Caenorhabditis elegans: one gene and its partner. Changing the gene in region 1 together with any one later gene gives a genetic interaction. Each region holds a gene or a part of one and is shown on either strand. Other genes may lie near its edges.

The links.
Region 2: of adr-2 (region 1) and adr-1, changing one enhances a phenotype caused by changing the other (phenotypic enhancement), as found in Caenorhabditis elegans (one study listed by BioGRID).

The regions. Positions count from the first base shown.
Region 1 is NC_003281.10:7,229,669-7,234,934, forward strand, and holds adr-2 (Double-stranded RNA-specific adenosine deaminase adr-2), read right to left. Parts: upstream 3,215-5,266; coding exon 2,805-3,214; intron 2,752-2,804; coding exon 2,412-2,751; intron 2,360-2,411; coding exon 2,126-2,359; intron 2,082-2,125; coding exon 1,752-2,081; intron 1,679-1,751; coding exon 1,505-1,678; 3' UTR 1,371-1,504; downstream 1-1,370. Other genes in the region: R151.8 (Myb-like domain-containing protein), read right to left, coding at 1-117; R151.10 (uncharacterized protein), read right to left, coding at 516-1,084, 1,131-1,263; ndus-8 (putative NADH dehydrogenase [ubiquinone] iron-sulfur protein 8, mitochondrial), read right to left, coding at 3,534-3,879, 4,100-4,187, 4,261-4,405, 4,454-4,513. UniProt on the Caenorhabditis elegans protein: Catalyzes the hydrolytic deamination of adenosine to inosine in double-stranded RNA (dsRNA) referred to as A-to-I RNA editing. Acts primarily on non-coding regions of protein-coding genes including introns and untranslated regions (UTR).
Region 2 is NC_003279.8:7,770,950-7,778,984, forward strand, and holds adr-1 (A-to-I RNA editing regulator adr-1), read left to right. Parts: upstream 1-2,468; 5' UTR 2,469-2,488; coding exon 2,489-2,563; intron 2,564-3,063; coding exon 3,064-3,132; intron 3,133-3,183; coding exon 3,184-3,321; coding exon of another isoform or gene 3,322-3,342; intron 3,343-3,448; coding exon 3,449-3,646; intron 3,647-3,693; coding exon 3,694-3,794; intron 3,795-3,845; coding exon 3,846-4,092; intron 4,093-4,134; coding exon 4,135-4,203; intron 4,204-4,246; coding exon 4,247-4,784; intron 4,785-4,833; coding exon 4,834-5,095; intron 5,096-5,167; coding exon 5,168-5,437; intron 5,438-5,484; coding exon 5,485-5,811; intron 5,812-5,862; coding exon 5,863-6,382; coding exon of another isoform or gene 6,383-6,439; coding exon 6,440-6,520; 3' UTR 6,521-6,706; downstream 6,707-8,035. Other genes in the region: nsf-1 (Vesicle-fusing ATPase), read right to left, coding at 1,033-1,096, 1,209-1,259.

The DNA of each region.
Region 1 (5,266 bases):
CGATGTAATCGGTGCAGGTGATTGAAGCGGTCTTTCCCTCAATACGGGAGGCCGCCCAAAGGCGATGCGTCGTCGAGAAGAACTGGCAGATGACGTTGATGGCTCATCTGATTGCATTTCTGAAACAAAAAATGAAGAAAATATAATCGAGAATTCTTTTCAAAATTAGCGGTTACCACCAGAGCGCATTTGTACACAGTTAAATTATGTCCAAATTCAAGATAGATTAAGGAACATAGCATAGCAACATATGCACAATACAGTTTGGATTGATGTAGAAAAATTTGAAAATCAGTTATAATATATTTGCCTTAACTTTGAAAGTCAAATAAGATAATAATTAGTGCCTCAAACACTATCGATCGATGAAAGAGTCAATGTGAAATAAACTGTTGCAAAAATATATTCAAAAAAAAACAACTAGAAATATAAAATGGTTATGTGAATATCACAAAGTACGATCGAATACAGATAGAAGTAAACCATCAGTTTTTTGAAAGAAAAATATGATATATTTAATATGGGGGCAATCCGAAGTCCTCTGGCTTAAACTGTTCCAAACTATTCAAAATCACAGTCACACGATTTTTGAATTCTGGGTCTGAATCGGGGTCGAAAATCGATCGTTCTGGAACCATCACACATTGCATTCCAGCATCGAGTGCCGACAAGACACCATTGTACGAATCTTCAAATACAAGAACTTTGTCCGCCGATTCTGGAACTTGTGGGAATCGTTTCATAGTCACCAAAAATGGATCTGGGTGTGGTTTTCCGTGTTTCACTTCAGGATCATCTCCCGATAAAACTTGCAACTTGATCATGTTCACCCAATCTTTGTGGTTATCCAATTTCGTTGGAAATGTGCGACTACACGATCCAGTACACAATGCAACTGGAACTCCGGTATGAAGAAGGTGACGAACCAGTTTCTCAGCTCCAGGCATCGCAGGACTCCTTTTGAACATTTCGATGAGAAGTTCATCGTATTGACGTGAATACTCTTCCGGTGTCACAAGATCGCCGATTTTCAGTTCGTTGATTAGCCATCGGATCGATTCATCATGGCGTTTTCCCATTTGCCCTGAAATTTATATTAAAATAAAAATATTTCTGATATTTCTTCTCACTTCTCTTCAAATCCATTGTGAAAACGTGTCCATATTTTCTCAAAAGCTCCATATTCGCTTCCGTGTATGCAGATTCTGTGTCGACGAGAAGACCGTCAAAATCGAAAATCACATGGGTCACTGATGCAGGCATCTGGAAATTTCTATAAAAACATATTTATTCCAGTTTTCGTTTCCTTAAATAATATTCAACTCCGAGATAAGTAACTCGAATCACTGAAAATTGTAAGTCCAAAAAATAAAAGATTAACAATTAATTAATGCAGAAATTAAGAGTTAACAGCTAAAATGGAATGAATACACGATGCTGCATGAGATTTTTAAAAGTGGAACCACATTGAACTTTTGATACAATAAAGGTAAAATTGCATTGATTAATTTATAGTAAACATTTGAAATTCTCGTGGCTTTCGTTGCCAAATTCCGAGATCCTTCTGTCGCAGCCAGGTAATGAACGACTTTTTTGCAGCAGCGTATTCTTGAGATCCAGCTTTGAGTTCTTCGTATGAGATTGGATAATCCACAGAAGTCTTTGTCAACGTGCAGATCTGAAATAGAAGGAATTGTTGAGTTTCACACTCAAAACATCAAGAAAATTATTTTTATTTTCCCCCAGCTTACAGTAATCATCAGTTCTGCCATATTTTTTTTACACAATCTGGATGGAGTCGTGATGTCAGCCCCGCTCATATCCTTATCATGAACCATTCCATCCGATGTTCGTACAACTTCTGTATTTCCATCAGCCAAGTTCCAATTCATCGAACTAATCGTGGATCGTGCTGCTGCAGAAGTTGATTGCTCAGTATCTTCCACTTGACACTCTCCGATTTCCACGTCTTGAACATGGAATGGAGCTGGAGGTTTGAAGGTGGCTGCTCTGCTGTAAACTGCTTTACGGAGACGATCTGCATTGTTCAACTCGGCAACGGCGATTGACGAGTAATAGATCTGAAAATCAAGATCTCATGTTATACTAATCAGGTTAAACTAACTGGATCGATGAAATGTGATAATATTGCTCCTTGGACACCCAGTACATTTGCTCGAAGCAATTTATCAGAGCAAGACATTGTCCTCATTCGTTCTCCCATCATGATTCCATCAAATGTTTGTGGAGCTTCAAACTCAGAAGCACCACCGAGCACTGTGCCCATACCTTTATCAATTTTGAATCGAAGACGAGAAGAATTTTGAAGGTCATCTGATGTTCCGGGTTTTAGCTTTTTCTGAAAATAATTCAAATGAAGAATTTACAAAAATTAATACTTGAAAAGTTACATCTATTCTCGCAACTCCACATGGTGCGGTGTTTATGAATAAATGGAAAGAAATTCCTGGCTTCAGCACCAATGCGTTCTTTCCTTTTGTAAAAATTGAATTGGGTGGCTCTGTAGAGAACTTTAGAACTTCGGAATACAAAAATCTCAGAAGGCCTCTTCTTGCGAGAATTTCAGCATGACAATCTATGAGAGCTGTTCCATCGTTTACAATTTTGTCTCCGCGTAATCCCTTGTTTCCAGTGGAGAGAGCAATGATTTGGAGGTTTCCATTGATTTTCAGGAAAACAGAAGCGATCACTTTTTCGAATCCATAGATTAAGGCGTTGTTCTTACAAAGTCTAAAATGATAATAAAAGGGATACATTCACTATGAATTATTTTTTCCACTGACTCATAAAATTTCGCGTATGTATGTTCTCTGAGCATCTCGAAAAATGTGGTTTTCTCCTCAAATTTGACAGCAGGCACAACGTATTCGCTAACATGCTTGAGCACGACTTCCAGTCCTTTCAATGAGCACGACACCTTTGCCTCTTTCTTTTTGGATTTTACATTTCCCTCGATTCGTTCTCCATTTAAAATTACAACACATATAAATTTCATGGATCCGTTCGGTTGGTTTCTGTTATAGAAATCAAAAACTGGAGTGTTGCCTGTCATATGAACATAAAGCTCTGAGAATAATGACATTGGATTCTTTCCGCTTCTTTCCACAGTTTCCTTCACAAAGTCGGGAATATTGTCATCCAAATCCATTTTCTCTGACTTTAACTCAACTTCCATACCTTCTTCGACGGACATCTGAATTACGAATAATTTTTGGAACAAAAAGTCCACATGAGGAAATGTGTAACAGTTTTACCTTGAGATATCGAAAAAACAATAGAGCAACATCGACTAGTGAACGATATTTAAGAAAAACATAGAGAAAACATAAAAGTATATAACATATTTTGTTTTTCATCTACAATTCGGAAGTTATCAGAAAAGGGGAACAAATACTAAAACCTCAAAATTAAAAATAAATCATCTGACAACAGAAAACGGAAAAGCGAAAAAGCTACGAAAAAATCAGGTATTTTAAAATGTTCTCTTCTCATTTCCCACAATTCGTATTATCTTAACGATAAAGATATTCGGCTTGAAGATTGGAAGCGAGCTCAGGCTCCCAGCGATCACCATTCAACAAGAGCTTCTCCTTATTATAGAGGAGTTCTTCGTGAGTTTCAGTCGAATATTCGAAGTTCGGGCCCTCGACAATTGCATCGACTGGGCAAGCTTCCTGGCATAATCCACAATAGATGCACTTGGTCATATCGATATCGTATCTAGTGGTACGGCGACTTCCGTCAGGTCTTGTTTCGGCCTCGATCGTGATAGCTTGAGCTGGGCAAATGGCTTCGCAAAGCTTGCAAGCAATGCATCTTTCTTCACCAGACGGGTATCGACGAAGAGCGTGTTCTCCTCTAAAATACTGATTTTTTTGTTAATAATTTTTGTTTTTTTTTAAATTAACTAAATAATTAATATTTTTAATTAAAGAATTTTCGAATATGTGTCGTGTGAAGGTGCAAGTTTGTTCAGTTTTTTGAAAACTATTAAAATACAACCAAAATATGCTTATTTTCTTCCAAGCTGATTATAACAAATGCTTTATGATTTAATTTCAATTTTTAATTTCTGTACCTGAATCTTGAACTGAGTGGTCCCTTTTCGAAGGGATAGTTGATAGTAGCTGGCTCCATGAATACGTGACCAAGCATCACTCCGAAACCTGAAAAATTGACATTTTTCCTTCACACAGTATACTTCAAAATAATTTTGATTCAAATTTAGTTTAAAATTACCTCTGAAAAGTTCGGTGAAGAAAACATTGTGAAGCCCGTAATTCAAATCTCCAGCCAGTGTTCCATCGGTTTCATTGGGCATACCAACGAATTTGTAGTTGGATCTCTTTTGAATTGTGTTGGAAGGAACACTGCTGACGGCAAGCTAAATAATTGATTATTTGAAACGTATATTTGAATGAGAAAATCTCACTTGAGCCGGAATTCTTCCAAACATGCCTTTTGTGAGCACTGCCACACTTTTCATCGCCATTTTGACAGCGTGGTTAAGTTACTGAAAAACGTATTATTGATAGACTACATTTAATTTAATTGGAATGAAGTGTTTATAATAGAAAAACATTGATAAATATAAAATTGAACACGAAAAAATATTAAAAAAGCGAGAAAGACGCAAACATGTCCTGCAGGTGCACGAGAAACGCGCCAACGATGAACCAAGGGCGCAACTTCTGCGTTCCAACAAAGTTTAATTCCCAAATATCTATTTAAATACTTTTAGCCTTTCAATTTATATATTTTATATTGTTATTATGTTTAAATATTTGTCAAATAACATAATTTTATCGTTTAGTGTTTCTAAGCACGCTTATTGTCACAATAATTTTACTTTAATGCTTTGTTTCTTGAGAAATTAGGAAAACTGTTCTCAAGTTTGCTTCCGAATATTTGTTTCTCAATTTACTTCTCATAAATATATATTCTCGGGTCGCTGCGCTCCCCCGAGAAAAGGTTTTCCCTTGTTCCTAGCTCCGTTCGAGAGAAATGAGGTACGAGAAAAGGAGGAAATTGAGTTACAGAATTTATGGGCTTTGCGTGTGGTACAGGTCGTGACAAAAGTAGAAAATTAGGGGCAGTTGGGCGCCAGGCGCCCAACTTGAACGATATGAGGGCCACGAACGGTATAAATTGGGGAAATTTAATGTGCTGACGCCGTCGTGAAGAGCCCGATCGTTCGATGTTGCCGACATGATGTTGACTGTGCAGGAGCTGCTGGTGTTGCTGA
Region 2 (8,035 bases), on another chromosome or scaffold:
TTTTGAGCCATTTTTCTAAAGGAAAGGACCGAAACGTAATTTTTAGATTAATGGGCATGAAACATGAAAGGAAATTTATTTTAGAATTTTTAGTTTTTTTCTCATGAAGCTCTAGACAAAAAATAATGTAACTCTATTAGAAAACGCATGCGCGCTGGGACATATAATCTGATAACAGACAAAACGAAGGAAAAATCGGGCAGACACAATTTTCATTTTTAGGATACCGAAAGTGAGAAAGAGTCAGATTTCAGGGGTTTGATTACACTGAATTTAATAATTAAATTTTCAAAGTATTAAGGTTTGAATTGTTTCGGATAAAACTGAAGAAACAGCTTATCCTGTCATTATTTCAGTAATTCATGACTTTCCTTGGTTTATGGAAATGTTCTCCAGAATAACGTGGGAATAATGGCATCAAAACAGAAAACAAAAAGCGGAGGACCGAAAAGAGGCCGAAAGAAGTAAATGGAGAGAAAACGGAAATGAGAAGCAAAAAAATACGAAGAGATGGGGAAGATGCTAACAAAAACTGCAGAACGAGAGGAGCAGTGCGTTGAAAACAAGAAAAATACGAAGAAGAAGAAGACGTTGTTTCGGCACTCGGAGGCTTTTTCCTGCGCAAATCGATGTAGGACTTTGGGCATGAAAAGACACGAAGAGTTGGAGAAGAGGACAGACGGATGGGGGAGATACGTGAAAAAAGAGCCGGAAAATGGGAGGGGAGGAAGTGAAAAGGGTGGACTTTTTGATGATGGAGAAAGAAGCAAACTAAGAAATGATGAGCAACTTTTGGTATTTCTCAAATATTCATGCAAGTAAACATTAAAATAATATGGAGTGGCTAGAACTGGAAAAAAATTAAGTCATGTCAAACCGTCATGAATAAAATTTTAACGAATTTAAAAATGTTAAATGTTCAAATAAAACCCTGATTTTAAGAAAATTCCAGTTCAAGTTCATCCATATTACTTATTAGTAAACGTTAGTTAAAAGTTTGAAAGCACAGTTCCCAATAAAACAAAACGAAACCGTGATTTGTCTCCAGTAGTGAGTCGTTTGCTGATTTCCGAAACCACGACATTGTAGAATATTCCTGAAAATTAACAATTTTGAAAGAGAATAAATACAGTCCTGATCTTCAATAAATAAAGAATTAAAAGAGAAACGATCAAACGAATAATGAGCATTGAAACACAATTATTTACCACGATTTTCCTAAAACAGCAACATGTGCTTAAACACGGGACTGGACTCATGAGAAAATGTCTGACTGAAAACTCGTCCAAGGACACGTTGCATATGAATTTCGCAACTAATAAATTGTAACTGGACAAATAATATGAACTTTAAAAAAAAAATAAAAAGAATTTATTATTTAGCAGCTGATGTGGTTTTACAAAAAATATTTTGACGAAATCAATATTTAAGCATCAGAAACTTTATATTTTTCGCATTTGTGATAAAAACAGCAGATTAGAAATATTAAATTGCAAATAAAATCTTAAAAACTCATGAAAATCCGGGAAACGTGTATTATGAGACCACTTCAATTTTTGAATTGTGTGAGTCGGGCGAAACAGAATTATGAAAAGTAGTTAAAATCCTTTAACACTATGTTTTAGAATATTTATAACAATTTAGCTGCTATTCTTTCTCACTTAAAATGTGAGCGAAGTTTTCGTTTTCGGCATTGAACGCATTTCTTTCAAACTTTATTCACAGATTCCGTGACGTGTCAGTAGAGCAAATGCGCTCCATGGAACTATCGACTTTTCGAATGCGACGCGTTCCGCGCTCAACGATTCGGCTCATTTTTTGCTGCGTTCTCGCTTATTATTTCGTTCCGCAATTGTAAATGTATCACTGAAATGTACAATTCGCTTAGTTTCTGTCAATTTCAATAGAAAAATAGTGTTATTCTCACAATGCAACAGCCCTTTTTGTTTCAAAACATTGAAAGCAATGTCAGTTTATGGGAAATTCAGTTAATCAATAATTATAGCATATTGAGAGGAGCATTATATCTCAGTCATAAGCCATTTTGTTCTTGACGTTTTATAATTTTCATTCCTTTTTAGTCTAGGATTTTTAGAATTAGAGGGCCTAAAATTATTTGCTTTTCTCTTCTGAATGTGTTTTTTGTTCTCAATGCTACACGAAGTCTTTCAACTAGCTATTTAGTTGCTTCTATTGCTTAAAAGAACAACTGAATAGTATGTTTATTTCCTACTCTCGGCATATTTCCTCTATATTGTAATGTATTTTGTGTCTACTTAAGAACGTGGAGTTTGTCATTATTCCCAATGCGGCATACTCTGTGATCTTACTGCTTCCCTCTTATTTCTCGTGTAATTTCATTGTCCGGTTCGAAATGTTTTTTTGTGCCGGGTAATGTCACGACTTTCAATAGTGTGAATCTTTTCTCGAAAACTTCATACGATTGCTAGTCATCATTTTTTCTGCAGGTAATTTATTTGACTACGAAATGGATCAAAATCCTAACTACAACTTCGGTTATGGACAGGCCTATGGCTCTGGCACTGATCACACCAGCGATTCCGTACGTTAACTCTAAACTTTTGTGGGTACTCGATTAGAGTTGGAGTGAAATCCAATACAAATTAAAACTCAAGTAGGATTCACTCCAGCTTTAAAGCAATTAAAAATATTGGAAGAACCCCAAATAGTTTGGCGTTGTCGTATGCATCGACAATTAATACATTTGTTGACGTTTACAGTGTCAATAAGTTCATCTGCCTAATACAAATGAACTTTTTCTCACTTTGCAATAATTAAGTTTTGTTATAGATGCATTTCTGGATGATTATTATAAATTAAAATTTATATCATCCAGGGTTGGATCCTCTCGGTGATATTTTCAAAAATTAGCTTAAAATTGTTTATTTCTGTATCTTAAATCGTATCAAATTAGCAAAACCTAAGGTTTGAGATCCTTCAGCTAAAAAACAATATCAAAAACTTTCTAATACAAAAAATCACTAAGCTGAATTATCTCAAAAGCTTAGAAAATTTTGCTTAATTAATTTTTCAATTTTCCAGACCAATAATTACAACTGGGCAAGTCAATGGAGCCAACCAGAGTCCGCTGCCTCGCTGGCTACCCACACGGTATGATAAAAACTAACAATTTCGGAAGAAAATACAATTATTTTTTTTCAGTTCCCACAATATGTCAGCCAACAACAGCAGCAGCAGCAACAACAGGCTCAACAACAAGCTCAGAATACTTATGCAGCCATGAACCCAATTTCAACATTCATGCAACAACAACAGAGAGCACAAACCTTCCCACAGAAGGTATATTTATTTTTAATTTAAAGAACAGCTCCAGTTGAAACTAATAGTTTATTTTTAATTGAAAGAACAGAAGCGTTTTCTAAAAATTATCACAATTTGGAATTTCTAATGTGAGAAACTGATACAGAAATACGGACAACAAGGCGGTGCTCCAAAACCATCTGCAATTCGTAACAACAATTTCGGTGCGTTTGGCGGAGGGCACGCTTTGAGTCAGGAGTGGGTGCAACCAATGTCGCAAAACCAAATGGGTGGCCCACAGGGAAATCGTTTTTTTAACAATCAAAAAGGCGGTCCATTCAACCAAAACAAACCAAATTGGAGGGTGGGAAATTATTTTTATTTTATATTGCAATAACGTTTTTATTTCAGCAAAATAAGCCCAAGGGTCCAGCTGCTCCCAAAAAGTTTGATTCGACTGGGAAAAGCCCAGCGATGTTGCTTCATGAGCTGTTCAAGGATGTTTCTGAAGAGTAAGTTATTGAATTTATTAGAAAGGCAATCAAATTATTGAACTTTTTCAGGTACACTGAGGTTGAGGGCGTTCCGAAAAAGTATTGCTGCACATTGAAAGTAAACGGACGCACTTTTCAAATGGAATCAGTCAACAAGAAAGCAGCGAAACAAAAATGTTCGGAACTTGTTGTTCGCGATCTTCGTCCGGATGTTCATGTAACACCATTTGAAGAAGGTGTAGCAGCAAAAGCAGCGGCTCCAGTGAAAAAGGAAATCGATGCCGCTTCTGGAAATGGGCAGAACAACAAGAGAAATGTACGTTCGAACTACAATTGGTTTTAATAAGTTTTATATTAGTTGCTTCAGGCTGATGCTATTTCAAATCAACCGACACCGAAAAAGGTCTCCGCTGTTAAGAAAGCAAAGGTAAAATTCAAATTTTCAAAAGCTGTACTTATAAATTCTCAAGCTCCAGTTGACACCTGTTGAATCTGCGCTTTCGTTGCTAGATCTAATGCAAAAAATAATTGCTGAGTCTGCCGAGAAGTATTCACCAGTTTTCGAAGCTTCGGAGGTTCCAAAAGATCCAGAGATTCCCGAAGTCGAAGTCAAAAAAGAAGAAGTGGATACAAATGGAGAAAACGTTGCCAATGAAAAGAAGAGTGGTTGGCGCAAAAATGAGACCATGCATAATGTCACTTTGAAATTCGTGGAGCAAAATAAACAATATACAAAGATGGGACCAAGTCGTGGAGTTTTGAAAGATATGGTCATTCGTGAAGCTCTTCGTGACTTGTTCAACGTGTCACATGCCGACATCACCACTGTTGCCCGTAGACATGCAAGTAATCGTCTTGGACACGATACGACAATCCTTCAATGTCTCAATACCATTTGCTCAATTTTAAATTGCACTCTTACTATTGAATGTGAGCCAGCAGAAGACAGACCACTTGGTATCGGAAGAGCATATTTCATGGCAAAATGCACAATTATTGATCACAATGGTATTTTTACTAGAATCTCAGATTTAGAACAGTTTTTCAATTTTTTCAGAGAATGATTTGAAATTTGAAGTCAAGTCCTCATCACTCGCTTCCAAAGCAATGGCCAAAGACTGGGTCGCGCAAGAAACACTAAAAAACTATTTTGCAATAGATCCATCTTCCTGTGTGAAAACAGATGCTGTCAGCAGTCAGGGACCGTGTGCTCTTCTCCACGCGATGCTCAACAAGCAGACGAAACAGAAGTGCAAGATTGCCTATGAATTCAAGGACAATGTACCTCCAGTTGCTGGACAGGCTACAACGACATTCTAGTAAGTGAAGTACAATTTCAGAATCCTTTTTTGAAAATATTTTATGAGGCTGTTTTAATTGAAAATTTTCAGTTGTGAATGCGTAATCGATGAAACCGATCGGTACATTGGCGTTGGTCGTTCGAAAAAACTGGCTAAAAGTGAAGCGGCAATGCAAGCTCTGAAGAAGCTTTTCAAAATTGACTATGATCCAGCCGGCAACTATCCACTTGCATTGACAAGTCGTGCTATGACCGAGTCAAAGGTTTCTCCATTATGCAGACATATCGCAGAATTTTGTAAGAGAGAATACCACCAGATGACTGAATACTATCAAATACCTCCCAGCAATTTGTTTGCTGCGTAAGTTTTCAAACATTATTTTCAAAAGAAATTTATTCAACTTTCAGTTTCCTATTGGTCAATGCTCAAGAAGAGAAGCGTGTTCTTGCAATGGGTTCATCTATACAATATATAGTCGAACCAGATACTCTCAGTGGAGCCAATGGAACATCTCTACTTCATTTGGATGCTATTATTCTTGCCCGCAGAGCAATGTTGAAGGCATTTATCCATGAACTTAGCACCGTTGATTCAGAATGTTCAATTTTCGAGAAAAAGGAAGAGGGAAAAGCTGCCTTAAAGCCGAATCTCCGGCTTGTTCTCTATTCCAACTACTCGCCACCATGCATTCATGCAGTCGATGATGCTGCAACTAAGAAGTTGTCATATGTAACGTGAGTTTAATAGAATTTTAGTTTCTGCAAAAACTATTTCACCATTTTCAGGCCAACAAATCTGACATGTGTACCAGACGATGTGCTTACCTACGAACAAATTAAGGAAACGAAGTCCCTTCGAGTTCATTGCACTGCGGATAAACTATTCAAATGGAACACTTTGGGAATTCAAGGCGCTCTCCTCTCCAATGTTCTTCATCCAATTTTCATTGATAACATCTTCTTCGGCTCAGAAGCTCCAGTCTCTGATGAATCACTCAGTTATGCTTTGCAAGGACGCCTTGGACCAAACGAAAATGAACGAGAGATCATTGTGGAGAGTATGCCTGTGCAAATGAGAATGCATATGGGCATATCTCATCTCTGGCACCGTGGAGTGGATTCTGTTGAAACTCTGGATTACAATACTGGACGCACTTCAAAGGGATCCCCATCGCGAGTTTGTAAAGCTGAAATCTTTGAGGCGTATCGTAAATTGAACGGAGTCGACCAGGCCGTTGTGAATTATGCGAAGGCGAAAGAGATGGCGTCTGAATACCAGTATGAGAAGAAAGTGTTCTATGAAAAGGTTGGTGTTTTATTTTCTTCTTTTCTTCGTCTTCTTCTTCATAATATTAATTTTCAGCTCGAGGCTGCGGGACTCGGAAAATGGCAAACAAAACCAGCTGAGCTTGTTGACTCCTTCACTCTTGCTGCTTTCGATTAATTACTCAATAATTCATAATTTAATTACCACCATTTCTTCGATCTTCGTTTTCTCTCTGCACCTTCTTTTTAACTATCTTTGAAGTGTATGATCTTCAAGCCATTGCCGCTTTAATGCGGTATTCTTTTGTTGTTTAATTTTTTAAATTTTTCTGACGCCAAAATAATTTATAAAGTATTGGTTAAAGCAAGTTTACAGTCTCATGTGAGAATGGTGGAGTTTGCATTTATTCAAATCCAAAACCAATTTGTGAATGTTCGAAAGTCTTTCGCGGTGAAAAATGTGAAAAGAAGCAGATATCTGTGTCTCTTTCCTCACATTATAAAGGACACTTTTTGGATTTTTCGAATGACATTTTGACAGTTGATATTCTAGAATTTAGTTGAGAATAAATTGGTAGAGGTTAGCAAATCGGAAGCTTGGAAAACAATTAAGAACCTATTTGGAAATGTTTCTGATACTCCGTTTGCAAATCATCCAAATAATATGGAAACATTCCCAATGACTGGTTATGTTAATCTTCATAATGTTGATATCATTTAAATTTGATTTCTATAAAAAATTTGAAGTAAATAAATATTTTCACAGCTTCATTGTGATTCATTGTGACAATTTTTAATGTACACAACAACTGAACCATTTCTTTATCAAAATTTTGTACCATTTTAATAATTTTTCCAGCTCTAAGAATTGAAATTTGCCCTGAACATTAAAAATGTAAACCTGCTGTAACATTTTAAAAGTTGTTATTTTTCTATTAAAAGTTCCTGCATTTTCTAAATTAACATCGAAGTTGTGTATTTCTCAAAAGAAGCTCATCGCGTTTTCCTGGCAACCTCTTTTGCTTTTTCAATAATACGTCTTCCCACAGGCAGATTTGCAGACAACAGTGGTCAACTACTCAAAGGAGAGCGACACCAATCTATATAGTCTCCCCAGAGAGAGAGAGAGAGGAGAGGGAGGAGAGAGAGAGATCTTCCCAGAAACCTGGTTGTGTATGTGATTCTATATCGATCGCTATGTGCACACCGAAAACGCCGCGTTTGCAGGCAGCTAGATCGACACAGATGTTTTCGGTCATTCATTTTTTTTGCTTACCCCCCTTCTTGTGAGTGCGATCCACTCAAATATAAAGGGTTCCTGGCGAGGGCCATCTGATTAGGGTGCTTGCACTAGGCCAATTTAGGGATTCGTGTTCTGTGGATCAGTTAAGGAAAACAACCCTAGGTCTTTTAGCTGGTTTTGCTACAGCTTTCTTTTTTTGTCCTGAGTTGATTAGTTTGAAGAAGATTTCCGATCTAAATTTTAACTTGAGCTAAGCTAATTAATTTTTTTTTCAAAAAAAAGAAGAGTTGTAACTCTTCTCATCTTTCAAAGTTTTTTAAAGTGCTCTTCTTGTGATTTTTCAAATTCCCATTCCCTTCTCCCGTTATCCTTCTCCCTTCTCCCTTCCCTTTTACCCTCTCCCCTTCCCTTTGCAAAGTCGATGGATGGATGGATCGACGATGGATGGAT